Linked DNA regions of Callithrix jacchus. The protein of the gene in region 2 interacts with the protein of the main gene of each other region in a biochemical or structural test. Links are inferred from orthologs where the notes say so. Each region holds a gene or a part of one and is shown on either strand. Other genes may lie near its edges.

Evidence for each region.
Region 1: the proteins of RPS6KA1 (region 2) and GRID2IP interact in a test that uses a peptide from one of them, tested with the Homo sapiens proteins (2 studies listed by BioGRID and IntAct, with this or other methods). The link is inferred for Callithrix jacchus from reciprocal best matches to the Homo sapiens genes RPS6KA1 and GRID2IP.
Region 3: the proteins of RPS6KA1 (region 2) and MAST2 interact in a test that uses a peptide from one of them, tested with the Homo sapiens proteins (2 studies listed by BioGRID and IntAct, with this or other methods). The link is inferred for Callithrix jacchus from reciprocal best matches to the Homo sapiens genes RPS6KA1 and MAST2.
Region 4: the proteins of RPS6KA1 (region 2) and HTRA1 interact in a test that uses a peptide from one of them, tested with the Homo sapiens proteins (2 studies listed by BioGRID and IntAct, with this or other methods). The link is inferred for Callithrix jacchus from reciprocal best matches to the Homo sapiens genes RPS6KA1 and HTRA1.
Region 5: the proteins of RPS6KA1 (region 2) and TAMALIN interact in a test that uses a peptide from one of them, tested with the Homo sapiens proteins (2 studies listed by BioGRID and IntAct). The link is inferred for Callithrix jacchus from reciprocal best matches to the Homo sapiens genes RPS6KA1 and TAMALIN.
Region 6: the proteins of RPS6KA1 (region 2) and ARHGEF11 interact in a test that uses a peptide from one of them, tested with the Homo sapiens proteins (2 studies listed by BioGRID and IntAct). The link is inferred for Callithrix jacchus from reciprocal best matches to the Homo sapiens genes RPS6KA1 and ARHGEF11.
Region 7: the proteins of RPS6KA1 (region 2) and PDZRN3 interact in a test that uses a peptide from one of them, tested with the Homo sapiens proteins (2 studies listed by BioGRID and IntAct, with this or other methods). The link is inferred for Callithrix jacchus from reciprocal best matches to the Homo sapiens genes RPS6KA1 and PDZRN3.

The regions. Positions count from the first base shown.
Region 1 is NC_133503.1:16,248,792-16,253,153, reverse strand, and holds the start of GRID2IP (delphilin), read left to right. Parts: upstream 1-1,554; 5' UTR 1,555-1,676; coding exon 1,677-1,711; intron 1,712-4,362.
Region 2 is NC_133508.1:63,192,420-63,196,788, forward strand, and holds the start of RPS6KA1 (ribosomal protein S6 kinase alpha-1), read left to right. Parts: upstream 1-1,394; 5' UTR 1,395-1,450; coding exon 1,451-1,585; intron 1,586-2,401; coding exon 2,402-2,518; intron 2,519-3,284; coding exon 3,285-3,366; intron 3,367-4,369. UniProt on the Homo sapiens protein: Serine/threonine-protein kinase that acts downstream of ERK (MAPK1/ERK2 and MAPK3/ERK1) signaling and mediates mitogenic and stress-induced activation of the transcription factors CREB1, ETV1/ER81 and NR4A1/NUR77, regulates translation through RPS6 and EIF4B phosphorylation, and mediates cellular proliferation, survival, and differentiation by modulating mTOR signaling and repressing pro-apoptotic function of BAD and DAPK1.
Region 3 is NC_133508.1:82,798,919-82,802,674, forward strand, and holds part of MAST2 (microtubule-associated serine/threonine-protein kinase 2), read left to right. Parts: intron 1-215; coding exon 216-348; intron 349-1,268; coding exon 1,269-1,434; intron 1,435-1,934; coding exon 1,935-2,036; intron 2,037-2,309; coding exon 2,310-2,432; intron 2,433-2,603; coding exon 2,604-2,713; intron 2,714-3,077; coding exon 3,078-3,232; intron 3,233-3,474; coding exon 3,475-3,756. UniProt on the Homo sapiens protein: Appears to link the dystrophin/utrophin network with microtubule filaments via the syntrophins. Phosphorylation of DMD or UTRN may modulate their affinities for associated proteins. Functions in a multi-protein complex in spermatid maturation.
Region 4 is NC_133513.1:115,866,294-115,870,641, forward strand, and holds the start of HTRA1 (serine protease HTRA1), read left to right. Parts: upstream 1-1,487; 5' UTR 1,488-1,545; coding exon 1,546-2,029; intron 2,030-2,387; exon of another isoform or gene 2,388-2,793; intron 2,794-4,348. UniProt on the Homo sapiens protein: Serine protease with a variety of targets, including extracellular matrix proteins such as fibronectin. HTRA1-generated fibronectin fragments further induce synovial cells to up-regulate MMP1 and MMP3 production.
Region 5 is NC_133510.1:67,464,031-67,467,156, reverse strand, and holds the end of TAMALIN (protein TAMALIN), read left to right. Parts: intron 1-412; coding exon 413-506; intron 507-604; coding exon 605-671; intron 672-867; coding exon 868-934; intron 935-1,371; coding exon 1,372-1,877; 3' UTR 1,878-2,562; downstream 2,563-3,126. UniProt on the Homo sapiens protein: Plays a role in intracellular trafficking and contributes to the macromolecular organization of group 1 metabotropic glutamate receptors (mGluRs) at synapses.
Region 6 is NC_133519.1:17,439,292-17,443,814, forward strand, and holds the start of ARHGEF11 (rho guanine nucleotide exchange factor 11), read right to left. Parts: upstream 2,990-4,523; 5' UTR 2,770-2,989; coding exon 2,738-2,769; intron 1-2,737. UniProt on the Homo sapiens protein: May play a role in the regulation of RhoA GTPase by guanine nucleotide-binding alpha-12 (GNA12) and alpha-13 (GNA13). Acts as guanine nucleotide exchange factor (GEF) for RhoA GTPase and may act as GTPase-activating protein (GAP) for GNA12 and GNA13.
Region 7 is NC_133516.1:55,155,576-55,159,331, forward strand, and holds part of PDZRN3 (E3 ubiquitin-protein ligase PDZRN3), read right to left. Parts: intron 2,263-3,756; coding exon 2,164-2,262; intron 1,055-2,163; coding exon 992-1,054; intron 1-991. UniProt on the Homo sapiens protein: E3 ubiquitin-protein ligase. Plays an important role in regulating the surface level of MUSK on myotubes. Mediates the ubiquitination of MUSK, promoting its endocytosis and lysosomal degradation. Might contribute to terminal myogenic differentiation.

The DNA.
Region 1 (4,362 bases), on a different chromosome or scaffold from region 2:
CACAGCACGGTGGACAGTTTTCAGAGCCTTTGGCCATGCCTGGTTCTGGATTCTGGGCCACTGCAGCTGGCACAGTACAACCAGGAATGGCTCCAATCATAACGGGATGGCTGGGGCCCCACAGACATCAGGGAGCTGTGCGGGCTGGGAGGCTTGTCAGCTGCTTCTCTCCCTGGCAGGGCTGAGGACAGGGCTTGGGGAGGGCATGGCATGAGTGAGCACTGGCTCTATTTCCTGGCTGCTTCCAGGGAGAAACACAGCTCTGGGAGGTCACAGCAAGGTGATGGTCTTGCAGGGGCGGCCGGGGGGGTGGGGGCTGCGGTGTGTTGAGGAGCAGTGTATGGACAGTACCAGAGACCAATGATCAGATCCACAGGGTCCTCTCTGTGCTGCCCGCAGGTACCCACTGTCTGCACCATGGTAGTTGTTCCTTTGAGTGGGACAGAGGGAAAGTCTGGGGGCATCCTGCCTCTGCTGTTCCAGCCTGTCTTTGGAGAGGGCCTCATGCTGATGTTCCTGGTCGGGGGTACCTCTGAAGAGCCACTCCCCAGGATGTGCCTTGAACTGGTTACTCAGACTGTATCATTTGTTCCTCAGACCTAACTCTGGGCCTCTCCTGTGGCAATCAGGACTCCTGGAGACATGACAATGCAAGCAGGCACTCTGGGGTCCCCTCCTGCTGCCCTGCAGGGGATTGCAGGCCCAGAGCCCCCAGGGAAGAGTCCAGACCTCCCTTCCTGTCGCCTCCCTATCCACCCCCTTTAATGCTCCTCCCCTCTTCTCTGCTGGCTGGGCAGGACCTGCAGCTCTGGGAGGCCGTCTACTCACCCCCTCCGCACTCACCTGGGGGTTGCCCCAGCCTGGGCACCTTGACCTCGCTGGCACTAACTCCCCAGGCCTCAGGCACTCTACCTCCTCTGTGTTTTGAAATCCGGCTTCTTGTCCCAACCCAACACCCTTTTCTGCGTCCCCTCCTAGCATCACCCCTCTCCTGGTGTGCCAAAACCTTTGGAGTCCTTCCACCTCTTCTTGAACCCTGAAACCCTCCTAAGGCTCCCTCCTGCTCCCAGAGTCGGGTCTCAGCTGCTGACCACGACATTCAAAGCCTCCCTTTCCAGCCTCTTCTCGGCCACAGCGTCCCTTCCCCAACCCCATCCCTACCCCGGGTAGGTAGAGAGGGCTTCTACTAGCTGGCCGACTCCTGCTGAGCCCTGGAGGCCTAACGCAAAGGCCATCCCCTCCGGAAAACCTCGCATGCTCTACCAAAAGCCATCGGGGCTTCTAAACTGCAGGGACTCGCCACTGTGCGGGGGTCCGGGACGCAGTGGCTGGAGAGGACACAGGGGAGGATCCTGGGGAAGGAATAATGGAGAGAGCCAAGGGGAGTGAGCGCGGCGGCCTCAAACTTCCCCCGGTTTCCCCTGCACCCCAGAGTGACCAAAGTGGGGAGGGGGTGAGTAGAGGGCCTGCCTCTACGGGGGAGAGGCGGGGCTCCCGGGAGGGGGCGGGGCCACCAAGAGGGGGCGGGAGCGGGGTTGCGGGCCCGGACCGTTCGGGAGGGGTCGCGCGCGTTCGCGGGGCAGAGGTGCGTGGAGTCGCGGCGCGCTCGCTCATCTCCCGGGCTTGGATACCCGCTTGCCCTTCGGCACCTGCCGCGTCGCGGTCCCCGGCTCCAGATGGGGAAGGACCAGGGCTTCTCTCGGCACTTTCGGTAGCTTCCCCGTCACGTCCGTCCCGCGCCTCCGGGAACCGTGCGCCCTGTGCGCCGTGGATCCGCTTCGGGCTGGTCTGAAGGGGCTGGGCTGGAGCGCGGAGGGGCTTCCCTGCTCTGGGTGGGCAACATCCGAGCCTGGGCGGAGCCCGGGGCCCAAGGAGGTTGGAAATAACCTGGGTGGGTACCGGGGCAGCGAGGTCTAAGCGTTGGGCGCTCAGAACCCGTGCGCAGCCCTAAAGAGTTGGTGTCGGGGCAAAAGGCTGATATTGAAAGACCAGTTTCCTTCCTACACCTGGGCTGGTCGAGGGGACATGACAGAGGGCCGAGACTGAGGTTGGGTGCTCTTGTGAAAATATGGGCATCTCGTCCTGAGTTTGGGGGGCACGACCTCTCCACTGCTGTGCTCCCTATGCTGAACCAGGGCACCTTGCCCCTTGCCACCAGTTCACTGGCTGATCAAGAGAAAGCTGGGTGGGGACCCGGGCACAGTGGCTCACGCCTGTAATCTCAGCACTTTGGGAGGCCGAGGGGGGTGAATCTCCTGAGGTCAGGAGTTTGAGACCAGCCTGACCAACATGGTGAAACCCCATCTCTACTAAAAATACAAAAAACAGCCGTGTATGGTGGTGCATGCCTGTAGCTCCAGATACTCAGGAGGCTGCAGCAGAAGAATCACTTGAACCTGGGAGGCAGAGGTTGCAGTGAGCCAAGATTGTGCCCCTGCACTCCATCCTGGGTGGCAAAGAGTCTGTCTTAAAAAAAAAAAAAGAGAGAGAGAGAGAAAGCTGGGTTGGGACAGGGAATGGATGGGGGTGGGGTGGGTGGGGGTAGTCCCTAGTACGAACTTGGGGTTGGATTAAGACCTGACCCTGGCAGAAAGAACAGAACTGACCCTGAGTGCAAGGTCATTGTGTGGCCCCCAGAGAGGCCTGTGGCCTCAGAGAGGCCTGTTGGCATAGAGTCCCAGGACAATGATTGCTGGACTGCCAGTCAAAGGGATAGTGACTGGCGACAATAGTTGCTGTGGCCCCACTGTTCCTGGCCCTGCTGGGTCAGTCGATTTAGGGCAGACCCAGGGCTGGAGACCCTGGGCCAGACTGAGCTGCATGGAAGGCCCATAGGAGCTAGGTTGGATGTCTGGCTTACCAGGCAGCCTTGACTTCTGTCTCACCCCTAAAAACACCAAGTAAGGAAAGGGCTGCTCAACCTTCTTTCCTCTGTACAGTTGGTGACAGCCTGGTTCCCACCTGGGAGGGCAGGGCTTTTTCTTTTTTTTTTTTTTTCCAAAACTGAGTCTCACTCTGTTGCCCAGGCTGGAGTGCAGTGACTCAATCTCAGCTCACTGAGAGGGGTTTGTCTTCTGGGTTCGGGCAATTCCCATGCTTCAGCCTCCTGAGTAGCTGGGATTACAGGCATATGCCACCATGCCCGGCTAAGTTTTGTATTTTTAGTAGAGACAGAGTTTCACCACGTTGGCCAGGCTGGTCTTAAACTCCTGACTTTAGGTAATCTGCCTGCCTCAGCTTCCCAAAATGCTGGGATTACAGGCTTGAGCCACCTCGCCTGGATGATAGGGTCTTTTCTAACTGCTGCTGGAAGGTAGAGCTGTGATGTCCTCTTGACCCCTGCCCAGGTTGGACCCAGGGGTTGGGTGCATGGAGTGATATCTTCTTCAGAGTCTGTTACTGGAGTCAGAAGTGAGGTGGACAGTCTCAAGTGGGTGTGTCCTTTTTCCTTTGCCTCAACGTGAGGGTTGAGGTCTGGGAGGCAGTGGGGAATGTGGAAGCCAGGCAGATGGAGGGGTCAGGCTCCGGAGACTTTGAGTGACCATCTTAGGGGATGAGGCTAAGTTTCCAGGTTTGCAGAAAGCATTGCAGGTGGGTGGGAATGGGCACCGGGCAAAGGTGAGCAGGATATTCATCCTGGCCTTCTGGTCATCCAGATGATCCAGACCTGGAGCAGAGCTCACTGTGGGGACAGAGCCTCCTCCTTGAGAATCCATGCCCACTTCCTCCCACCAGGCAACTTATTTTGCCCGCCTGGCATAATTACTCCTATCCACAGAGGTGGAGGGAAGTGTGGGGGCCACTGGGACACCTCAGAGGGGTTTGTATTTCAGCTGACTGCAAGGCCACTGATCCCTTCTCCCTTCTCTCCATCATCTTGCCCTTGGCCATGGCATTTGGTACAAGGAACAGGGAAGGGAGCTTTGGGATGCAGCCAGGGAGACCTCACAGGCAACTGGACCTTCAGGGGCTCTTGTTAGAGGTCCTGCCACAGTGCTGAGGCTCTGAAGGCTGGGCTCCAATGCCAACTGTGCCACAGGCCAACTGTGTAACCGAGGAGAGCTACGGGTCCTCTCTGTGCCTCAGAATCCTCTGCCACAGACCAGAGAGTCCATCAGGACGTTAACTGCTGCCATTACTCAGAGATGCGGGTAGGCTGCTGGCAGACTGCCTGTTTACCAAGCCTCTCTGGTGTGCCGAGCCCTGGCCAATCACGGTGGCTCATGATTGAACTACAGACCAAACCCTCAGAAAGCCACCAAGGCTGGGTGTTGTAGCTCACGCCTGTAATCCCAGCACTTTGAGAAGTGGAGGTGGGAGGATCGCTTGAGGCCAGGGGTTTGCTACCAGCCTGGGCAACAT
Region 2 (4,369 bases):
AATGAGGATAACTGTTTTTAGGATATGATCAGAGTTAAGGATATCAGATTGCACTCAGGAGATAGTCCTCTCAGCCGATAGCTGGACCCCCTCAGGTCCTGGCATAGGAGGAAAATCCTAGGGAAACAGACAACCTCAGAGGTGGGTCTCCAAGAAATATCAGACTGCTCTCTTGAGTTTGCAGACTGTGCCCCTTCTTCTCTTTCCCCACCCCAAGTACAGCAGCAAGAACCCACAGTTCCATGCTTAACCCCTCCCTGGGGATCCCTGCCCTGCTGCCTGCCTGCCTGCCTGTGTGTCTGCCGGGCATCAGACCTATCTGTCCTAGGTGTCTGCCAGTCTACTTGGGCCTCACTGACACTGGCTGTTTCTCTTTGCTGCCTACCTGTGTCTGTTGTTGGATTACAATCTCTGTCTCCACTTGATAAGTACCTGCCTTCACCTGTTGGGCACATGTCACATGTTAGGTGCCTGTTGTTCATGTCCCCTTCTGTCTCTACCTGTTGGGTTTATGTCTTCATTTATCTCTGCCATTGGATACATGTCCCCTCTGTCTCTGCCTGTTGGGTACCTGTCCCCTTCTGTCTCTGCCTGTTGGGTTTATGTTCCCTTCTGTCATTGCCTGTTGGGTTCGTGTCCACTTCTGCCTCTGTCTGTTGGGTTCATGTCACCATCTGTTTCTGTGCTGTTGGATACATGGCCCCTTCTGTCATTGCCTGTTGGGTTTACGTCCCCTTCTGTCTTTGCCTGTTGGGTACATGTCCCCATCTGTCTCTGGCTGTTGGGTACATGTCCCTTTCTGTCTCTGCCTGTTGGGTTTGTGCCCCTATCTGCCTACACACATTGGGGATGAGCTTCTGTTCACCTCTGTCTGTTAGATATGAGTCCCTTCCTGCTGCTTCTTGTTGGGTACATGTCTCCATCTGTTTTCTACTGGGTATGAATTTCTCCTGCCTCTGCCTGTTGGATAGGTATCCTTATCCATCCCTGCCTGTTGGGTATGTGTTCCCTCCTGCCCCTGACTATTAGATGCCATTCTTATCTGTTTCCACCTCTTGGGTGCCTGCTTCTGCCTGTTGGGTGTCTCTCTTCGTCTGCCTCCACAAATCAGGCATCTGTCTTTGCCTGTTGGGTACCTATCTGCTGTTGGGTACCTGTCTGCTCAGCAGCTGCATTGGCAGGGGGCTTTCCCCTTGCAGGCCTCTGCAAAGGGAGGATGGGGGAATGGCCAGAGGGCAGCCCTCAGACACTGGGGAGTGGGGAGAGAGGAAGGGAACGTGGTGAGGGTGTAGGCCTGGAGCTGGGAAACCACAGACCCTGAGTGATTGGCTGCCCTGGGCCGGGCCCAGCCCCCGCCCTTACCCTGCACATCCGCCTTGGTCCGGGCCACCTCCGCGGCAGCCCTGGTCGCTGCCTGCTCCTGCCATGGTGCTGTGGCCCTGCTGGGCGGATGGAGCAGGATCCCAAGCCGCCCCGTCTGCGGCTCTGGGCCCTGCTCCCCTGGCTGCCCAGGAAGCACCGGCCCAGGATCAGCCAGACCTCTCTGCCTGTCCCTGGCCTTGGCTCTGGCTCCCAGCAGGACTTGGTGAGTGTGCCCGGATGTCTGGTCCTGGCCTGGCTGTGTCCCTCGCACAGGTGCCTGGGAAGCTAGCTTAATGCAAGTTGGCTTTGGTCTGTCCTGGCCCTGCCAGGGGTGACTGGACCCTGCCCAGACTTGCTTCCTGGGGAGGTGAAGAGGCACTTGAGGGCTTCAAGGTAATACCAGCAGATTGGAGGGAGGTTAGAGTCCTGGAACAGTGAGGCTCTGGCAAGGCACTTCTAATAGGTTTGTAGGAGGGAAGTTTGGGAAGATGAGCCATGCAATCTCCGGCCTTAACTCTGACCTGCCCCAGGCCAGCGCTGACCAAGTCGATGGGGGAGTTTGGGTGACTCTTGGGTCTTTGTGCACCTCAGCCCTGTCCTACTGACCAGAGGGATCCCTCTTCCCATCCTGACCAGGAATGAAGGCCCAGCTCTACCTCCCCATATGAGAACAAACCTACTTCCTATTGTGGCAAAACTAAAACAGCAGGGGGAGGGAAGCCCCACGGGCAGACCTGGGACAGGTCTCTGGGTCTCAGCCAAGTCGGGTTAGCTGAGCCTGGCCATGCCTGGGCATCCCTCTGGGCCATCCAGAGCATCAGGAGCAATAGGAGTGGTACCTTTTCTGGTTTGACCTCACCAACCTTTGAGGCCCTTTTGAAATTGATGTCCCTGGAGGCTAGCCCTTCAGGGAAGTCATCTGTTGGGCCTTTAGGTCCCATCTGCTGCGGTCTGGTGGGAAGGGACTTGGGCAGGGGGGATATGCCTCCTGCTGCCCAGATGGGGCCCACTGTGCCCACCAGCTCTATCCCTCCATCAGGATGAGGGCGTCCTCAAGGAGATCTCCATCACGCACCACGTCAAGGCTGGCTCTGAGAAGGCTGATCCATCCCATTTCGAGCTCCTCAAGGTTCTGGGCCAGGGATCCTTCGGCAAAGTGAGTCATGAGCCCATGGCTGTGAAGGCAACGTTGGTCATGTTGGAGGTGGGGATCAAGGCTCACCTATGGGCCCAAAGTATCAGAGGTCACCTTGGTACCCACGGAGAGCAAAAAGGTCAGCTTGGGGCTCAGAGAAGATACAGGTCATTGGCCAGGCGCAGTGGCTCATGCCTGTAGTCCCAGCACTTTGGGAGGCTGAGGTGGGTGAATCACAAGGTCAGGAGGTCAAGACCATCCTGACCAACATGGTGAAACCCTGTCTCTACTAAAATACAAAAAATTAGCTGGGTGTGGTGGTGGGCACCTGTAGTCCCAGCTACTTGGGAGGCTAAGGCAGGGGAATCACTTGAACCCAGGAGGTGGAGGTTGCAGTGAGCCGAGATTACGCCACTGCACTCCAGCCTGGTGACAGAGCAAGATTCTGTCTTAAAAAAGTAAAGAAAAAAAGAGGCTAGACATGGTGGCTTACGCCTGTAATCACAGCACTTTAGGAGGTTGAGGTGGGCAGATCACCTGAGGTCAGGAGTTCGAGACCAGCCTGACCAGCGTGGAGGAACCCCGTCTCTACTAAACATGCAAAATTAGCTGGGTGTGGTGGCGCATGCCCGTAATCCCAGCTACTTGGGAGGCTGAGGAAGGAGAATCGCTTGAACCTGGGAGGTGGTGGTTGTGGTGAGCTGAGACCACGCCATTGCACTCCAGCCTGGACTCAGCCCTCTCCCATCTCCCATCTTATCCCCTGCTTCCTGCTCTGCCTTCTCAGGTCTTCCTGGTGCGGAAAGTTACCCGGCCTGACAGTGGGCACCTGTATGCCATGAAGGTGCTGAAGAAGGCGACATTGAAAGGTGAGTAGGGACACCTCCCTGTGCAGAACCCAGGCTGGGCTGAGGGAGGCAGCCCACACTTCAGGGACCTTGGTTCTGGCAAGGAAGACAGCTCTGTCTTCAGAGCACCTAGTTCAAAAGCGGAGAGACAGGCCTATGTCTCAGCCATCCCTCCCCACCCAATCCCCTTCCCCTAAGCCAAGTGCCAATGACTGGCTGTGAAGGTCTGGAAGGTAGTAATAGGATAAATGCATGGCTGGGCGCAGTGGCTCACGCCTGTAATCCCAGCACTTTGGGTGGCTGAGGCGGGGGGATCACGAGGTCAGGAGTTTGAGACCAGCCTGGCCAAGACGGTGAAACCCCATCTCTACTAAAAATGCAAAAATTAGCCAGGCATGATGCCTGTAATCCCAGCTTCTCAGGAGGCTGAGGCAGGAGAATCGCTTGAATCTGGGAGGCGGAGACTGCACTCCAGCCTGGGCGACAGAGTGAGACTCTGTCTGAAAAAAAAAAAAAATTGGATAAATGCAATGTGTTTTTCAGGGGAGGGACCCTCAGATACCAAGCTGGTCTGGCAGAGGCGTTCTGACTATTGGCAGGGTTGCTTCATGATGCTAGAAGAGTCTGAGGGAGACCTCTGTGGCCTCTAACTCATGGGCCTGAGAGAACGGCATGAGTAAAGAGGCAGGGAGCCCAGGGAGGCAGCTGGGCAAGGCAAGAGAGGGTGAGTCCAAGCAGGACCACAGTGCTGGATAGCAGAGAGGTTCAGAAGGGAGCCCAAGTCAAGCTTAGAGTTCTGGGGACTCACAAAGGGTGTGAGGATAGTCGGTAGTGGGCTTTGGGTTGGGCACTGACCACCTGGCCTGGGAGCCAGTGTGATCAACGACCCGGTGGAGTCAGAGCCAACTGCCCTTCCTTGACCATCTGCCAAGTCTCCTTTTAATAAAAGTCAAGGCCAGGTGCAGTGGCTCACACCTGTAATCCCAGCTCTTTGGGAAGCCAAGGTGGGCAGATCACGAGGTCA
Region 3 (3,756 bases), about 20 Mb from region 2:
GGAGTTGTGGGAATGGGCAAAAGGCAGGTTTGTTGCTTGTGTAGAATGTAACACATAGCCAGAGTAATTTACTTTTCACACCTGCCTGTCCCCCTGCTGAAGCTGTCTCACAGTACCCCCATGGAAGCCTGAGTGGGGACATTGGGCATATGCTAAAATCGGTACTCTCGGAAAACCAGGAATAACTTCATAATTTTGTGTCTCTGGTCTCCCAGCCTCCTAATTACATCCATGGGGCACATCAAGCTCACTGACTTTGGATTGTCCAAAATTGGCCTCATGAGTCTGACAACGAACTTATATGAGGGTCATATTGAAAAGGATGCCCGGGAATTCCTGGACAAGCAGGTAAGGAAGGGTAGTTGATATATTGGGGGTTAAATTCTAGGCCCTTGGCCTAGCGCAGTGGCTCACGCCCATAATCCCAGCCCTTTGGGAGGCTGAGGCAGGAGGATCACTTGAGGCCAGGAATTCAAAATCAGACCTGGGCAACATAGTGAGACCTCATCTCTACATTTGTATACATATACATACATTCAAGGCCCTAGAAGAAGGCCTTGGGGCCATATGCCTACCTTGTAGCTAGAGGTTAAGATTGGGGAACCCCTATCTTTTCTACCTTTGGGTTCCAGAGAGGCATTGATATAGGTAGCACATTTGAAAAACAGGATGAGCCATAAGAATCATATGGATATAAAATCCAAAGTCATCTTCCTCCTCAGGGTTTGGAGAAAATAGGTCAGTAACTGTTAGCACAGAGTTTCATATGAGATCAGTCCCAAATCTCCCAGCCTGAGTCAAGGACAAGGCTCTCCTGGAGCTTGTGGTTCTTGGAACAGAGCTCTGAATTTCCACTGGGCTATGGCCCAGTGTCCTGAGAGGCAGCCTCTGGATGTTCCCTGGTTTAAGATTTCAGGTTGTGACTTCACCAGTCCCTGTAGTAGTTATGTGACTCGCAGGATCTGTTCTTTTAGAGGCTGGAGTGCAGAGGCCAATTGTGGGATCAGATGCCGGAGGGGGGTGTTGAGGGCTTAAGGGATGGTAGTTCCAGGCTAGAATGAGACTTTTTTTGTTAATTAGGAAATACCAGCCAACAGTTCCAACTCTTATTCCCTGGGGCTCCTGTTGATCTTACTCATTAACTAAGGTGGGCTGAGTCTTCATTCAGAGACTCTTCTGTTTCAGAGGTGGGAGCATCCCCCCTCTCCAGCTGTCATGCCAGTGAGCAGCCTCAGGAGGCTAAGCCAGCCTGGCCTTTCTGTGCCCAGGTATGCGGGACCCCGGAATACATTGCACCTGAGGTGATCCTGCGCCAGGGCTATGGGAAACCAGTGGACTGGTGGGCCATGGGCATTATCCTGTATGAGTTCCTGGTGGGCTGTGTCCCTTTTTTTGGAGATACTCCGGAGGAGCTCTTTGGGCAGGTGATCAGTGGTAGGTACTCTCCCCCTGGCCCAGTGGGGAAACAGTGTAGATCCACAAATAAGATGTCTTCCAGCAGCTTGTGAGGCCTGTGAGCTCTTGTTCTGAACTCATGGTGTGTGTCTGATGTCTGCTGCTTTGGGGGTGGATGTGTCTGTGTTTCTGTCTGTACATACACGTGCATGCTGTGTCCTTGGGGCTTCACATATCTCCCCTCTATACCTGTGTGTTCTGTTTGTGCACATCCCATGAGTGTGAGGAGTATAGAAGCAGGGTGAGCTGGAGCTTCAGGAGAGGGGAAATCACTGTTTTGCAGTGCCCACTTTGGATCAAAGATCAAGCCATGGTCTAGGAACCTATAGAATTTAAGGACTGGGGTCTCAGGCAAGGCTTTGGGGGCTCTAGGCTGTGCCCTTTTTACCTCCTTTCCTCACACTGTCCTGGGACCCTCTTCTACATCTCTCCACTCTCCCCACAATTTCTCCTTTCCCTCTCACCCCTGATGACTTCAGATGAGATTGTGTGGCCTGAGGGTGATGATGCACTGCCCCCAGACACCCAGGACCTCACCTCCAAACTCCTCCACCAGAACCCTCTGGAGAGACTGGGCACAGGTAGGACACGCCCCGCTAACTTTTCTCACTACTTGGAAAAGAGGTAAGGGAGGCTGGAGGTTCCAAACCCTAAAGGTTTGGGCTTCAGTTATGGGCAGCCCATCTGGATCCTGAAACTCTGCCCTGCTCCCTGTAGGCAGAGAAGGGGAGACGCTTGAGCTGACCACCTAGGTCAAGCCAGAGCTTCTCAAGGTCTGGCTTCTTACTAGGTATGCTGACCTGTACTCCATGCAGCTCATCCTACCCCCTTGCCCATGCCCTCCCCGTCCACAGGAGGTGCCTCTGAGGTGAAGGAGCACCCATTCTTTACTGATCTGGACTGGACAGGACTTCTCCGCCAGAAGGCTGAATTTATTCCTCAGCTGGAGTCAGAGGACGATACTAGCTATTTTGACAGTAAGGCCGCCAATTGGTGGGGTAGAGTATGGGTGCTACCCATTTGCCTAGAAATATCTGTGCACACTGAACTTGGCATTGGGAGCAACTTCTCAGGGCTCTGCTGAAATCTAATGGAGTCACAAGGAGGCCACCAGCAGGACTCTGAAGTGTCCTTTATGTCTGTCCCAGCTCGCTCAGAGCGCTACCACCACGTGGACTCAGAAGATGAGGAAGATGTGAGTGAGGATGGCTGCCTTGAGATCCGCCAGTTTTCCTCCTGCTCTCCAAGGTTCAGCAAGGTGTGACTGAGGAGACCCAGAATGGGCAGAACAGGCTGGAGGATCAGAAGAGGGCCTGTCAAAGGGCACTCTTGGGGCAGGCTCAAGGAATGGGGATGGGGCCACCTCTAGAAAAAGAGGAGCAGAGGACTGGGGCTCCATATAGCTATATATAGATGCTTCTGGAACGACTGCAGCCCCTGACATGAGATGCCAGGTCAGATCAGTGGAATAACTGCTTCCCCAAATATTCAGCAGGGATGTGTGGAGGAGGAAAGGAGCCGACTGGCTCAAATTCCTGGGTTTCCAATGCCAAGGATGCCTTTTGCCACTTGGGAGGTACGGATACCAGAGCCCATCCCCAGTGCATCCCCTGTCCCCACAGGTATACAGCAGCATGGAACGGCTCTCGCTACTCGAAGAGCGTCAGACACCACCCCCGACCAAGCGCAGCCTGAGTGAGGAGAAGGAGGACCGCTCAGAAGGCCTGGCGGTGCTCAAAGGCCGAGACCGGGGCTGGGTGATTGGCTCCCCTGAGATGTGAGCACACAGAGCTCACCCAGGGTGGGCGACAGCTATCCCTTCATTGTCACAGATATTGAGAGAGATTCTGATGCTGGGGAAGAGTGCAGGTAGCAGTGAGGGGCATTCATAGGGTGGCTCCTGGAGGAATGTCTGCAGAGGAAAGTTCCATTACTATAACCCTTGTGTGCCCCAAAGGAGGCCTGGTGGCAGGAGGGGGACCACATGGGCCATCTCACCCCAGGCCTTGTGTCTCATAGATTACGGAAGCGGCTGTCGGCGTCTGAGTCATCCCACACAGAGAGTGACTCAAGCCCTCCAATGACAGTGCGACGCCGCTGCTCAGGCCTCCTGGATGTACCTCGGTTCCCTGAGGGCCCTGAGGAGGCCAGCAGCACCCCCAGGAGGCAGCTGCAGGAGGGTGTATGGTTTCTGACACCCTCTTCTGGAGAGGGGGTATCTGGGCTTGTCCCTGATCGCTCTGGGGAGCAGCGGCTGAAGCTGGATGAGGAAGCTGTTGGACGAAACGGTGGTTCCAGTCC
Region 4 (4,348 bases), on a different chromosome or scaffold from region 2:
CATCAGCAGAGGCCTCTGCCTTTCCAGTATCCAGGGCTGAATGGATTCTGGGTCAAGGCCTCCCTCCCGCAGCCATGAGGCCCTGGCTTGATGGAATGTCGCTATGGAGTCCAGGGAGGCAGCATGGGGACCCTGAGAGCTTTTCCCATGCCCTAGGCTGCTGGGCCTTGCTGCAGGACTCCTCTGGACCTTGAACATTAACAAGGCTCATATTTGGAAGGTGCTTTGAGAGGGCTTATAAGTATTTGGAGGTTACTTTGTAAACTGTTTTTATTGGAAAAGTAACATGTGTACAAGAGAACAACCCAAATACAGAAGAATATTAAACTTCCCAAGCCTCCAGCCCCCTCCCATGCTACTGTATCCCAAGGTTAGCTCTGCCGGCCCACTCGGCCCTGGGTGCCTCTGCCCAGGGTCGGGGTGGAGATTTGAGGCTTGCGGGTGAGGGCTGGGCGAACCGCCTCCTCTCAGGTCTTCGGATACAAGCTGTACCCATTTGCTGTGTGTGGACCCAGGACTACTGTGCCCACAGGCCTGGCGCTGCCTGGACACCCAGACCCACCTCCAGGGTCGCCCTCGGCCCTCCCAATGACTCTCAGACTCGCATCTGTCCCAAAGGATGACCAAAGATTCTCCAGTGAGAAATCACATTTTTGATAACAAAAGTGTTTTAAAATAATTACGCACGGGGTGAAAAACTCAAACAGTAGAAAGCCCCTTTCCCATCGGAGTCTGCCCTACCCCCGCCAGTTACAAGCTTCCCAGCCACTTCCTGAGCTCTCTGCGTGTACGGACACGCGTCCCACCCACAACAACTTTGTAAAAGAATCAGACGCGTGAAGGATTCCATTCGAATCACTTCGGCTCTCTGCTTTTCTCACTTCACTGTGGGTCGGGCGCGGGCTTTCTGTCGGCGACACAGACGCCGCCTTCATACCGTTGCACAAGCCCCGCGTCAGGGTTCCGCGTGCGGGGTACCGGAGGCAGGCCCAGCCCTTGAGCGGGGTCCGCGGTGCCGCCAACGCCCCGGGTCTGCGCAGCGGCCCCAGCAGTCCCTGCCCCGCCCAGTTCGAGCCTCCCGGAGGGCCCCCAACCGGGCGATTCGCAGGAACTTTCCCCGACTCTCCCGCGCGGAGCCGCCACAGGACCCTCTAGCAAAGTTCCTTTAGTTTTAAGGACGCGAATCGCGGCGAGAGAACCCGCGGAAGGCGAATAGATGGGGCGCGCAGAGGGGGAAACTGAGTCCCGCGAGAGGGCGGGTCTGGGCGCTGCCCCGCCCGCGCCCCGCGAGCTCCGCCGTGCCCGGATGCGCCCGCCCTGCCCCCGCCGCGGGCCGTCCCGGTCCAGCCGCCCGCCCTCCCGCCATCCGGCTGGCCCCCCTCCTGGGCGCGGTGCCCGTCCCCAAGGCGGCTCGTCACCGCTGCGAGGCCAATGGGCTGGGCCGCGCGGCCGCGCGCACTCGCACCCGCTGCCCCAGAGGCCCGCCCGCACTCTCCCCGGCGCCGCTCTCCTGTCCTCGCCCTGTCCGCCGCCACCAGAGTCGCCATGCAGACCCCGCGCGCCGCGCTCCTCCCGCTGCTGCTGCTGCTGCTGGTGGCGCCCACATCGGCGCAGCTGTCCCGGGCCGGCCGCTCGGCGCCTTTAGCCCCCGGAACTGCCGCCGGGTGCCCCGAGCGCTGCGAGCCGGCGCGCTGCCCGCAGCCTCCGGAGCACTGCGAGGGCGGCCGGGTCCGGGACGCATGTGGCTGCTGCGAGGTGTGCGGCGCGCCTGAGGGCGCCGCATGCGGCCTGCAGGAGGGCCCGTGCGGCGAGGGGCTGCAGTGCGTGGTGCCCTTCGGGGTGCCGGCCTCGGCCACGGTGCGGCGACGCTCGCAGGCCGGCCTCTGCGTGTGCGCCAGCAGCGAGCCGGTGTGCGGCAACGACGCCAACACCTACGCCAACCTGTGCCAGCTGCGCGCAGCCAGCCGCCGCTCCGAGAGGCTGCGCCAGCCGCCGGTCATCGTCCTGCAGCGCGGCGCCTGCGGCCAAGGTACTACGCCGCGCGCCTGGGCAGCTCCCCACTCTCTCCATCGCAGCCCGGACTTGCTTCTGCGGTACCGGCGGGCAGGCAGAGGGGCATCGAAGCGTTGCGGGGTGGCCAGGGCAACTCTCGGGGACAGGCAGGTGGGCCCCGGGGGGACAGCTTGCCGCGGGCTGCCTCGAAACCAAACTTTGAGCCCACCCCGGGACCGGTTCCGCGCCCGGACGATGCCGGTGCGCTCGGCCTGCACTCTGGGGCTCCAGACGCCTGGTGACCGGCTGCGGGGTGCCCTGAGGGCAGTCACAGCGCGGGGGACCTAGGACAAATAAGAGGGATAGGAACATAAAGGGAGGAGAGAAGTTCAGACCTGGGAACTGGCGCCTTGCAGAGCGGCTTCAGTCATTTCTGTTGCTTTTTCTTCTGTTTGCTTCCTCCGTCCCCTTTAAAATGAACCATGCATTACTTTTTATCATGGGACCTCTTCTTGAAAACTGTATGTAACCGTTTTGGAGAAGAACAGTGTTTGCCGGCCTGCCCCGCGGTTTCCCCCAGAAAATCTACCCCCGGAAGGGACTGGTTTGGCACCGCGCTCGTTTCAGCAGCGTTTGCTGCCTGTCTTACTTTCCTCGTTTTGAGCCAGCCCTACAAAAATGAAAGTGGCTCCTTTTGAATAAGCTGAATCGGGCGTTGGATCACAAAATCTGCAGAGGCGGAGAAGGGACCGGGTTAGTGATGGGAAAGACGTCAACCCTTCTCTCCCTCCTGGCACTCACAAGGATCTGTCCTGGCGGGAGAGATGGTGGTGATGGGGGAAGGAGTGGAGTGGAGAAAGGTTTAACTCTCTCGCGGGACCTTGCAGAGAGATGCTCCTCATCTTCAGGCAGAGGCCACTTGGAAAAACAATATCGAGTTCAGTGGCGGCCAGTGCCGCGGTGCAGGAACCGGACAAGGGGGCTTGGCAGTGCGCTTGGCCGCAGCCACGCAGCTGCTGCCCGACCCCAGCGCTGCCTCATCAACATGAGCAGTGCCAGGAGCGAGGCATAGGAGAGCAGAGTGCCCTGTGCCCTGGTCTAGGTTTTTCTTTATGGGAATATCGTTCAGTATGACCAACGGGGGCTTGGCATAGCTTGGCTTACATGGACGGGAAGGTGCCAGAGCCAAATTGGGTGAAATTGATGATTGTGTATTTCACCAACACAGGAGCACAGCCCTCAGGAAACTCAGTCTAGTTAGGCAGTAGAGAGCTGTCCCGCAGATAAATGATCCAGGAGACCCGAGAATGGGCATGATGCTAGCACACACCTAGTGAGCACCCAGTCTGTGTGCCAGGTGTGTTACCTCTGTGACCTTATTTGGTCTTATGAGGAGGGAGTTTCTTCTCTCTCTCTCTCTCTTAAGAGACAGGGTCTCTCTCTGTCACCCAAGCAGGAGTGTAGTGGTGTGATCATGGCTCACTGCGGCCTCTGACACCTAGACTCAATGATCCTCCTGCTTAAGCCTCCCAAGTGGCTGGGACTACAGGCGGATGCCACCACACCCAGCTTCTCATCCCTGTTTTACAGATAGCAGCACTGAGATTGAAAAACTTGCCCAAGGTCACTCAGCTGGAATTTAAAGCCAGACAGCCTCATTCAGAGGAGTCAGCCCAGCACTTAACTCCAAGGCTGTGGGAGAGGGGTCAGGTGCTGTAAATTTCCTAGTGGGCTGGATGCGCATTTCGCTCAAAGCTGGGAACAGCATATGCAAAGCCAAAAACTTGTTTGGAGGTGAATAGATCAGTGTGACTGGGGGACATTTGGGGAGGGCAGCAGGAGTGAGCTAGGCTGGTGGCTCAGAGTCCATGGCTGAAGAGGCTGGCTGTGTGCCCTGTGCCCTGTGCACAGATGTTCTTGAACTGGGGCCACTCAAAGCCTAGTGTAGGGCTGACCTAGCGGTGGAGTACGGAATGCATCCAGGGTGGAGAGTTTAGACTACTGCAATACTCTGGGTGTGAGGCGACAACATTGAAAAAGCATGTTTTTGTCCAAAACAAGCCAGCTGTTACTGGTCTCGCTGTTTGTGGTCTCGTTGCACGGGGTCCTGTGTTGCTGGCACCGTGCGAGCAGCCTAATTTATTGCTAGTGAGGGAAGTTGCTTCACAAGCTTTGGAGTTGGCTGAGTCCCTGTGTGGAGGGAAACAGGTCTCCACTGGCCATCAGGCTCACAGCCGGCCCCCACTGTACCGGTGAGGGGACGGGCGCAGAAGGATGAGCATGGTGGCCTTGAAAGGAGGGAGAGACAGAGTGGGTACAATGCTGTGTTTATCCCTCCCTCCTTCTTTTGCAAATA
Region 5 (3,126 bases), on a different chromosome or scaffold from region 2:
CCTGCCCCTCCCTGAATTTTGACTGGGTCTCATGGCCAGCGTGGACTGGACCGAAATAACCAACTCTGAGGACAGCCCAGGGTCCTGGGTGGGCTTAGCTTTGGGACAGAGCTTCTCAAGGGTGGAGTGAAGGTGCTGGGTGTGTGAGGTCCCTGTCCTTTGGCTGGGGTGCTGGGCCTGGACAAGCTGGTGGTCACTACAGGCCCAGAAGAATGGCTGTGGTTCTGTGTGTTTGGATCGGGTATGAGAGATGTCAGAGGAGGGCCACCTAGAACCATGAGAATTTGGAGGCGGGAGTTCAGGAGTATTCCTTGGAGTTACTACCCGCCCTCTCCCCTTTCTGGCTAAGGTTAGAGGCTGGAATTCTAGCATGCCCCCTGGAGCAAATCTAACCCCTATGTCCACCTGGCAGGGGACACCATTGCCAGTGTCAATGGCCTGAACGTGGAAGGCATCCGGCATCGAGAGATTGTGGACATCATTAAAGCGTCAGGCAACGTTCTCAGGTATGTCTGGGAGCTGCAGTGCCTGCGGACTCCTGAGCTCAGCCTCTTGATATTTCCTCAGCCTGTGGCTCACTCGACCTTTGATTCCCCAATATCAGATTGGAAACTCTGTACGGAACGTCAATTCGGAAGGCGGAACTGGAGGCTCGTCTGCAGTACCTGAAGGTAGGGGAACGAGCTCAGATAACGTCTAACCTCCACCCTCCTCTTCCCAAGCGCCTACCCTGTGGGGTGGTCATTTATATCCGAATCTCCTTTAACCGAAGGTTTCTTCTGTCTACTCCCTGATCCCTTATCTGTACCTATGTCCTGCTGGTTTCCTGCTAGTTCGTGACAGTAGGGTGGTGGTTGTCTCTTGCAGCAAACCCTGTATGAGAAGTGGGGAGAGTACAGGTCCCTAATGGTGCAGGAGCAGCGGCTGGTGCATGGTGAGTAGGTCTGCGCTTCCTCCTCAGCTCTGGTGGGCTCTAGTAAAGAAAGGTTTACTAGCAAACCTCTAAAGTAAAGCAGGGTTCGTTGAGCTACTACTTTGGATACTGCCGTACCCACGTTTCTGGTTATTCTCACACTAGCCCTCTGCAGGTAAGTAACAGATAGTGTCATCTTCACTTCACAGAGGGGATCACCAGGGCTCAAAGAGTCTGTGTCAATTCTTTCCGAGGGTCTTGTGTGCTAAGCGACGCCCATAAGGATCTGAGTGATCATTCCTGATTTGCGGGTGAGGGAAGTAGGGGCTCAGGTCTGTGCCTGGCCAGGGCCACACAGAGGGTCAGCAGGACGGAGTGGGGATGCCTCCGAGCCTTTGCGGAGGACACCACCGCCTAGGCCTGACCCGCCCCCCACCGCCTCCCCCGTCTCCGCGCAGGCCTGGTGGTGAAGGACCCCAGCATCTACGACACGCTGGAGTCGGTGCGCTCCTGCCTGTATGGCGCGGGCTTGCTCCCGGGCTCGCTGCCCTTCGGGCCTCTGCTCGCCGTGCCCGGGCGTCCCCGCGGAGGCGCTCGGCGGACCAGGGGCGACACTGACGACGCCGTCTACCACACGTGCTTTTTTGGGGACTCCGAGCCGCCAGCGCTGCCGCCTCCGCCGCCCCCGGCTCGCGCCCTGGGCCCGGGCCCCGCCGATACCCCTGCTGTGGGGCCGGGCCCCGGAGCGCGGGCCGCGCTGAGCCGCAGCGCCAGTGTGCGGTGCGCGGGCCCCTGCGGGGGCGGAGGCGGGGGCGCGCCGGGCGCGCTCTGGACTGAGGCCCGCGAGCAGGCCCTGTGCGGACCCGGCCTGCGCAAAACCAAGTACCGCAGTTTCCGCCGGCGGCTGCTCAAGTTCATCCCCGGACTCAACCGCTCCCTGGAGGAGGAGGAGAGCCAGCTGTAGGGGCGGGGGCGGGCAGAGAGGTATTTATTTATTTATTCGCAACAGTCAGCGCTGAAAGAGGGGGAGGCCGGGCTAAAAGGACCCCAGGAGCCCAGAGCAGCGGGAGAGGGTCCTTGCGAGCCCCGCCCCTCCTGGTCGGTTCCTGGCTGATGTCTGCTGAGGGAGTGGGGGGCTCAGGCCCTTCTCTTCTCTTTCGCTAAGCCACAGTGGGAGCTGGGGCAGGGGGAGACCCAGGCAATCGGGGGCCAAAGATGGGGTGCTTGCCTACAGTCTCATCTGTAGTGCCTTGTGGGGTATCCTGGAACACCCACCCAGCAGGGGTGGGAACCCTGTCCCACGAAGCCCTCTCCTCAGCTTTACTTGCTCCCCCGCCCTTAGCCTTGGGGAGAAATGGCCCATGGTGGGCTGACCCCCCACCCTCCACACACAAGGTTCCCTGACCCCGTGGGCCCCCAGGGGCATCAGGTGCTGGGCCTCCTGCGTCCTGGCCTCGACCCCTAAGGGCTTGGCCTCTCCCAGGGGCTTGTAACTAAGTCGGGTCCTGCTGGGCAGGGGGTCTGTGTTCTGTGTCCCTTGGGGACAGGAACCGGCAAGTTCAGGTGGGGTGGGGACAGCACAGACTGTTCCACCGTTCTGCATATTGTTGCTTCTGAACCACAAACTGTATAAAATGGATGGTTTTTCATCTGTGTCAGTGTGGTGACTGCCTCAGGGGGAGGATTGGGCTGGGGCAAGCTCTGACTCCACCATCCCAACCACCCACCCCCAACACAAACGCACATGTTATTTTCTTACAGCCTGAAGCCAGGGAAATAGTCTGGGAGATTTAAATTTACATGTACAGGCCTGAGCTGGAGGCCCCACACTTCAGAACTTGAGCCTCCCTCCCCAATACCCACAGCAGGTGGTGGCCAAGGCTTGCCTCAAGTACTTAACCATCCCTATAGAAATACGGGTGCTTGGCATGCCTTTCTTCCCAGCCTCTGAGGACTCCCTTGAGGGGCTCAAGCCAGATCTGTGGGGACCTGAGCTGTATCCACCTGGCCTGTGATGGGCCCATCACAGATTACTCTGTTGTTCCAGAACTCTTCTGCGGTTTCCAATACTCCCAGGATGAGTTTTTTGTTGTTTTTCGAGATGGGAGTCTCCCTCTGTCACCCAGGCTGGAGTGCAGTGGCTCAATCTCGGCTCCTTACAACCTCTGTCTCCCAGGTTCAAGCAATTCTCCTGCCTCAGCCTCCCAAGTAGC
Region 6 (4,523 bases), on a different chromosome or scaffold from region 2:
TTGAAACAACCTGAAATGAAAGAATTTATAGTTGAAGATCCGTTCATTCATTCCAACATTCATTTGTCAAACATTTCTCGAGTACTCACCACATGCAACACATCAAGCTAGGCACGCAGAATATAACACAAGCAAACCAAACTGTCCCTGCTTGCATGGAGCTTACAGTCTGGTGTTGCTTAATGTGGTCTTCAGGAGTCTTACATCTTTCTAAGTCCCCCAGTTGCATGCTTTTTCTGTGGGCAAGAACTGTCACCTTAATTTTCTAAAACTCTCTTATAGCACCTTACACTAGGTTCTCTACACAGCAAACTGATAAACTGAAAGAATACTAGACTCCATTATCTGCAGCATTTTATTCCTTTCAGTGTGATTTAAGACTGTAAATTATTTAAAATCCATAGAGTCTTGAGCCTGATGTCCAAAGTTCTGATCGAATAGGCCTACAGCTAAGGGGGGAGGATTCAGTGCATCTAGCTGGGGATGTCTGAAGGGGACCTGAGTCCCAGCACTCAGGTATCTGGGGATAGCTGAAGGGAATCTGAGTCTTAGCACTCACTCTTAACAGGAAAGAGGATCAGGCAGGGTGAAGGTGAGGAATACCCTTACCCTGCAAAGCTGCACTATCTCATAGGAGAAAAGTGTTTTAACTATAGGACTTAGAGGTATAAACCCAAGACTGAACCCCCCAGGTAGGAGCCCCAAGACAGGAAAATGGAAGGGAAGACCTTGACTGCTGATGGGCAATTACCCTACTGCCAAAGAGAAAGAAGAAAACGGTGCTGCACACATTCTACAGGCCCAGTATAGAAGCCCAGTTAGATATGAAGGGTCAATGAAAGAGCCACAGATTCAGACCTGTCTTTGAATCTTTAAGTGCAGATTCTGTCACTAGCCAGGCAAGATGGCACTGGGCAAGCTGGGTATCTGAGCCTCAGTTTTCCCTTCTGTGAAACGTGAACAATAACCTCTGATGTTTCTGTCTACCTCACAGAACCACTGCAAGATCCAAATGAGATTATGTTTTGTGAAAGCACTTAGGAAACTGTAATGTGCTGGGCAAATCCTGAGATTTTTATCTATGAGGATATCCAAATTCCCAGAGGAGTGTCTCACATCAATCCAGGAACCCTCACTGCCTCCTCCTTCTTGCACCCCTAAAACTTGGGTTTCCATCTTCTCAAATCCCTGAATTTACCAGAAAGAGTTCAGCATTCAAATCTTAAAAAGGCCAAGTACACTAATTCTCAAATTCCAAGAGGATGAAAAGGGAAGAAGGGCAGCCATATAAACCGTTCCAACTCCTCACCTTGACGTGCCTCAGTTCTCCCTTTCCAAGGGTCAAACTGCAGAGAGGCCCAACAGAAAGGGGGAGGGAGGTCTGAACTGGCCATATATCCTTGTGCCTGCCTGCTTCCTCTTCTGCACTGCCAAGTCAGTTCCCATCTAGGGACTGCTGAACTAATCTAAATGGGACTCTGAGGCAATGCAGAGATTAGTGCTTGGGAAAGAGAGATTATATGCATTTTAGGCCACATTCCACAGCCAAAAGGAAATTAATAGCATGGATAACCGAAGATGGACTGGGCATGAAGGGAGCAATTGCATCCTTGCAAATATTCTTCATTATCTCTCCAATAATATTTTTTCCAGGCCCAGTCCTTTCATTTGCTTATTCAGTCCTTCAACCACCCATCTATCCAGTTAGGATGTGTGCAGTGCCCACAAAACACCCCCCACCACCACCACCCCGCAAGATTCTTATGGGGAGAAGGGTTGAGGAGGGGTAGGGGAGGGAAGGAAAAGACAAGCAGCTTGCAAAGTTGTACCAATCATTTGGAGGAAAGAATTGCAACCACACTGGAGGAAAGAATTGCAACCACACTGTAACACTACCAGTGATAGAGGTGGCTGGGCAGACTCTTGGGGGAAGGGGCATCATGTGCTCAGACTCTGAGGGCAGTGCTGCTGCCCAGCAGGCCTACGAGCCCAAAACAACTCCTTCCGGCTCGAGCCAGAGGGAAGGCCCATTTTGCAGAGTCAAGCTTATTAAGAATGGCTTGGAAGATTAAACCTAGAGCATCAGTTGGTTGGCAGGTCTCAATTTAAACTCTAAGCTCAGAGGAGAGGAAATTCTAATGTGACCTATGCATTTTGGGGCCATGTCAGCTACTGGTAAAAATCCAGACCTGTATGGGTGCAAAGGATGTTTCTGTCCCATCATTCAGGCCAAGAACATCCTCTTCATTTCTAGAAATGAGATCTACCCCATCGCCAAGCCCCAACATTCCATAACAACCAGCCTGGTGAAGACCCACGACCCTCCCAGGACCCTTCTCCCAGCAGCTCCAACACTTAAAGCCAGTCCCCCTAGGGGCTCACAAGACACGTTTGCACCCACCTGAGGCTGGCAAGTTGGGGGGGACTCAAATTCAGCCTCCATCCTGGCAAAAGTCATAAACCACTGGAAACATTTCTCACTCCTTCCCCTCTCCTGGCTTCACTGTTTATAGCTTATACTCAAAAGACGCGGAATCAAAAGCTGTGTTTTGAACACAGACACACAGAGAGCACATAACCACACAGGCTGACAGTCTCCAGAGACGAATGCTCCTAGCCCACCAGTGCCCACAGCCCACCCAGACCCTCATTTTCAACCATTCATTAAAATGCAACACCCTCTCTCCCAGTCTTTCCTTTAGTCAATGTCGAAAAATCAAATTATCAGCAAACCTACCTGTCTATACTCTGGGGTAACCTTACACTCATGGTTTCTCGGTGTCTCCACGGTTCCAGAATCCTGCAGCTTTGGTGTCTTGATCACGACTGAATCGCTTGCAGTTTTTAAGCAAGGTGAGAGGAGGGTCTCCCAACTTGAAGATTGAATCCTTTCTCCTCCAGCTCTCAGGACCCTGGTAACTGATGCTCCACTCTACTTCTACGAGCGAGCATGATTTCCTTTCTCAGCCCCTCTTCCCCTCCCCCACTTAAAAAAAAAAAAAAAAGAAAGGAAAAAGAGGAAAAACTATGACCTTCTCAGAAACCAAAAACCCAGCCACAAATCTCTTCAAGGTTAGCACTATGGGCTAAAAAATGAATCACAGAAAAATGTGCCTTCAAAATATCACTGTTAACTGCAAAGTACAGATAACACCATCCTTTAAATCCAGTTTTCTCAGCTGTCCTTCTGTGGGCAAGAGACCCTTTAGCTCAAAGGGTGAAAAATATTTTTCCAGTCTCCAATGCTTAATGTGACAACAGCAAATATATTTCAGAAAAGGAAAAAAAAAAGGATTAATAAATCCGAAATGGCACTCGGAAAAAAACCTTTCAGCTGATTTGCACAGTAAAAAAAAATAAATAAAACCATACAATAGTATGTACACGACAGCACTCCTTCCAAGTCCAATGCAACCCTGGGAACCAAAATTTATGGACTTAAAAAAAAAAAAAAAAGCTTTTACATTAAATGTTTTGAAATTCTTAAACGAGCCAATTGCACCAAAAAAAAAAAAAAAAAAAAATCAAAGAACACCTGAAATGCAATGCTTTTTACCTTAAGATGGTAGCAATGATCACAAACCAGAGACAATCTCTGAAAATATTCTCTCCCTTTCTTTTTCCTTTAAACTTGCAGGTTCCTCCACCTACCCCAGACTGATTCTCAGACCCAGCCTACGTTCGGCCTTTTTCTGAAAGACAATTTCCTGAGTTAGTTCTGCTGTTGGGCTCCTCCACATCCAGGCTCCGAAATTTTCTCTTGCCTCAGCCTCCATGAAACGGAGATTTCGCTTCCTCCCGTTCCCCCTTCTCTCTCCCTCTCTCTCGCTCGGCCAGAAAGACGGCTCCCTTATTATTCGTTCGGATTATGATTGCGGATTTGAGTTCGGGGTGGGTTTTTCTTCCACACCAGCCTCCTGGAAAATCCGATCGCCTGCCTCCCCTCGGCCTCTCCTTGCCTCCCTTTCCGCCCCTCGCCTAATCTCGCAGACAGGAGCCCGCCGTGCCTCGCGCAGGACGCCCGGCCGGGCCTCCGGCTCCCGGCGCCGCTCGCCCCGCGCCCGACCGCCGTGTTCCGGCCTTCGCCGCCGCTCGGGACGCCGGGCTCGGAGCACAGGGAAGGCGGCGGCGGCTGCGGCAGGCCGGCACGAGCGGGCGTCAGACTGCCGGCGTCGCGGCCGTGCTCGCCTCCTTCCGGGCCCCTTCCCCCTCGGCTCGCCGCTCGCTCGGGCTCAGGCCCGGCCGGCCGCCCCTTTCACTCCCTCCTCCTTCCCTGCGAGCCTTTCTCCTTCCCTCGCTCCGGCGGGGCGGGGCCGCAGGCTCCTCCTTCTCGCCGCGCTGCCCGCAGCCCGCCGGCCTTTCCCCTCACGCCGCGGCGGCCGGGGGCGGGGGCGGGAAGCTAACCGCCCTCGCCGGCCTCGGTTCCCGCGGCAGCGACTCCCGCCGACTGGCCCGCCCCTGTCCCGGCCTTCCTGCGCGCCCTGCCCCCCGCGACCTCTCGCCGAAGCGCCTCGGCCGGTCCT
Region 7 (3,756 bases), on a different chromosome or scaffold from region 2:
TTGCCCTCAATTACCAAGGGGAAATGGACCTGCTGTGACACAGTGGAGGCAGGGAGGATTGTGTCTGGAACCCAGGGTATTCCTTGGAGTATCTCTGAGAACTTCCATTCTCAATAGCAAAGGTTAATAGAAAACTCCAGCAACAACAAGAAGGCAGCAATGCTGAGGACCCTGAAGACCTTGATCCTTCAGGTGTGAAGGTTTGGGTCACTTTCCTAGGGTAAGTGATCCTGAGCAGCACAGGTTCTGGCAGAAGACGAGAGAAACCCAGAGCGGGCAATGGGAGAAGGAAATAAAAATGACTCATAGTGAGATATGAAATGAGAAAAACAGTGACTTAGGAATGAGAGGATACAGATCAGAAAACATAGAAAGCTAAGCCTTGCGGAGACAGTGAAGCCAAGAATCTCAATTCGGAGAGATTAAAGAAGATTGTAGCCAAAAAGAGATATGAATGGTCTCATTTGGACTAGATGGAACAACAGGGCTTGAGGTCAAGTAATTACCCTTAGAAGCATTTCCAGTATTAGATGTTGAATCAGAAAATATAAGACTTTTCAATCGATTCTGCTAAATTTGCCAAAAATGTTCCCATTTTATGGACGAGACCCTGAAACACTTGGTCCAAAGTTAATCTTTCAGAGAAATCTAAAATGAGAATTATTTTAGTTCACAAGTTGTAAACTGTTGGTCTGATTTGTTTTGATCCAAACAGAAGGAAAGAAAATGAGGTGAACTGGCTTAAATTCTGCAAGGCTGTCTTTTGAGAGAACGTGCCCCATCTAGTTTGTCTCAGTCCTTACCACTCCCTATTGCGTCTTAGGACTCAGAGTTAGCCTCACAATTAGCTTAACTTGTCTGGCCTCACTACACATCTGCGTTTGTGATCCCTGTTCTTTAACCTCTCCTGCATTTTCAACCTTAGACCTATCATTAGAACCAGTTTGTTCTTCAGGCACATTATGAGGTCACCGTTTGGAGGTGGACTTACCTGGATAATGCGGTCTCCTTCTCGGATGCGCCCATCCTTGGCTGCAATGCTGTTAGGGTCAATCTGAAACACACATGGACCATCTCAGCACAAACCCAGACATGCATGAAAATAAGCAAGAGCAATTTCCAAAGCCATCTCTAACACACAGTCATGCTCATCCCTGTGTGTGTTTTACACAGAAATAAACAAGACTTAGTGTCTTGTAAGGAGAGGCAAATATGAGCTGATCTGCTTCTAAGCCCTTTGTAGGGCCAGTTCTTGCATCCCTGCATAGCAACCCTGTTACACAGCAGAGGGTGCAGGCTCTGCCAATCTGAGGGGGCTGAGGGGACACAGCTGACCTTTTTTATATGCATGATTATTAAAATCAAATCAATCATAACCCTTCATTATGTTAACTAGCAACCATACCTTATTTTATACAAAATACTTGTATTAAAATTTGGAAAATAACTTTAAAAATATAATTGAGACAAGGGGGACTGGTAAGGGGAAGGATGCCCCCAGATGCAGAAAGGCTGGGCTAACAGCTTAAGCTTGATGGATAACATACAGCCAACCAAAAAGATAATTATTAAGTCTAGTAGTTCATCCTGTAGCGACATTTTATTTCCTGACAAAATTGGGTTTCTGTGCTTGCAAGGATGGGTGTGTACAGTAAAGTTTCCATACTAAAATCAGTTGCTTTGTATTATCTTCTTAAGGAAAATCAACACAGTGTGCATCTATGTAGTTTGATAAGTACATAAAAATCACATTTAACTTAAATGAACTCAACTATATATACTTCACCAGGAGAAAAAAAAAAGTGAGAGAGAGAGACTTGAAAAAGTGTAAGTGATTCTATCCACCATTCCACTCCATGAACATGAGTTGGGAAATGTGAATCTGCCATTCCCTCAGGGCTAAACACACAAAATCATGTAAATGGCTCCATTTTATGGCTGATTTGCAGGCTTCTCAAGGGTAATTTTGCTCTAAGTACTGACATTAGGACTTAACCTCCGTGGAAAGATGCAACGCCATGGAGTGTGATGAGGGGGACAGAATAATTTGTCTGTGTCTTTCCCAAGAGTTCTTGATGAGGTAGGTTAGGGTTGGTGAACATAGGGAAAAAAACCCTTTTGGTGTTGATATGATAGTTACAAGAACAAAATCAGCCTTTGTACCTCACTGATATAAATCCCAATGTCATCTTCGTCATCCGTCCGGTAGCACACAGTGAGGCCCAGCTTGTCCTGGCTGTTCATTCTGTAGAGGTCCACTTCCTAGGCAAAGAAAGGCATTCCCAGTGAGACTCCAGCAGGCAATGCGAGTGAGGGGATGTCAAATGCTTTGAAAATATTTTCTTTAAATGATGAACTGGATTTCTTTGCATTCAGCTGTGTAGGGCCGCTTAACTTACTAAACAAAAAGTGATTATGGACACAGGATCAATGCCTAGGGCATTTCTGACCTTTCAGTCAATATAAAGTCATTTTGAAAATAGTTATTTCATTGATCCCCCAAAGAAAAATTACCCATATTTCACTCAGCATCAAGACTTCTGGGGCAGCGCTTTTCAAAAGCACTTTTTCAATGTCTGCCACAGACAAGAATATTTCCATACCCCAAACCACCCAGCCATTTCAGTACAAATGTTTCCAATGTGTTTGGTTAGATGATTTCACATTGCATTCCCTTAATATTCAGTCATAGAACTTGCAAACAGATTACACATAAACAGATCCAAGAAAGGAGGGTAACGTGATAGTGTGCAATTAATGTTCTCCACAACAGCTGTGATATTTACTGTCAAGAAATTAGTTTCAGCCACTATTACTGCAAATTAAGTAAGATAAAAGCAAAGTGAGCCCAAATGCGGGACACATGCTATTGTATCTGCCAATTGGTGTATGCTTCAGAATGAATTCAGAACTTTGGAAATTGTTGGACATCCTGGGTCTCTCAGTATAACCAGGCTAAGTCACTTCTCACCCACTTTGCCAATGACTTGTGCAACTTTTTGTAGGACTAAGCTGTAGGCCTAGTTGAAGGGCCATGTGGTAAGTTCTCTGGCAGGTCGTTTGGTCTAATTTTTAGTGTTATCTGCTATCAAGCAGGAGAATGGAGGGGCTCTGATACGGGGTCTTCACGCCACTTTTATCTGGGGACTATTTCCAAGTGGCCTCTCTTGAGGGTCTTCTTGGAGGGGAGGGAGGATGCAAATATCTATGTGGAGAAGCTCAAAGCAGTTAAATGGCAGATACTTCTTGAACTCTCCCCGATATGAAAGGCAGGGTGCCTGGCACCATTAACACTTCCCACGTGGAGGAACTGCAGGTGCAAAGGCCGTGGGCCAGCATGGCCAGAGCCCTGTGTACAAGAAGAGAGAAGTGGGCTGAGGGTGGCCAGGTGGCACAGCTAGACCAGGCAGGGCATGTAGGCCAGCATGAGCCACTAAGATTTTATTTCAGCATCATGGGAACCCATGAAAAGGTTTTAAGTGACGACTGCCATGACCTTAATGACTTTCAGTAGTCTCTCTTGGTGATATATGGGGTATTATAATGTGGTGGGGAAGAGTTGGAACTATGAACACAGATGTTCAGATCCCAACTCTCCCTCTTTCTAGCAGCTTGATCATGAGCTGCTTCTTATATCTAAGGCTCTGTATCCTCACTAGTATCTGTCACCTTGCCTCCCAGAGTCACCTATATGAGGCACACAGAGCTCTTAGCACATTGACTGGCCTGCAGAAAGTCCACAGACACTGGTGGTAT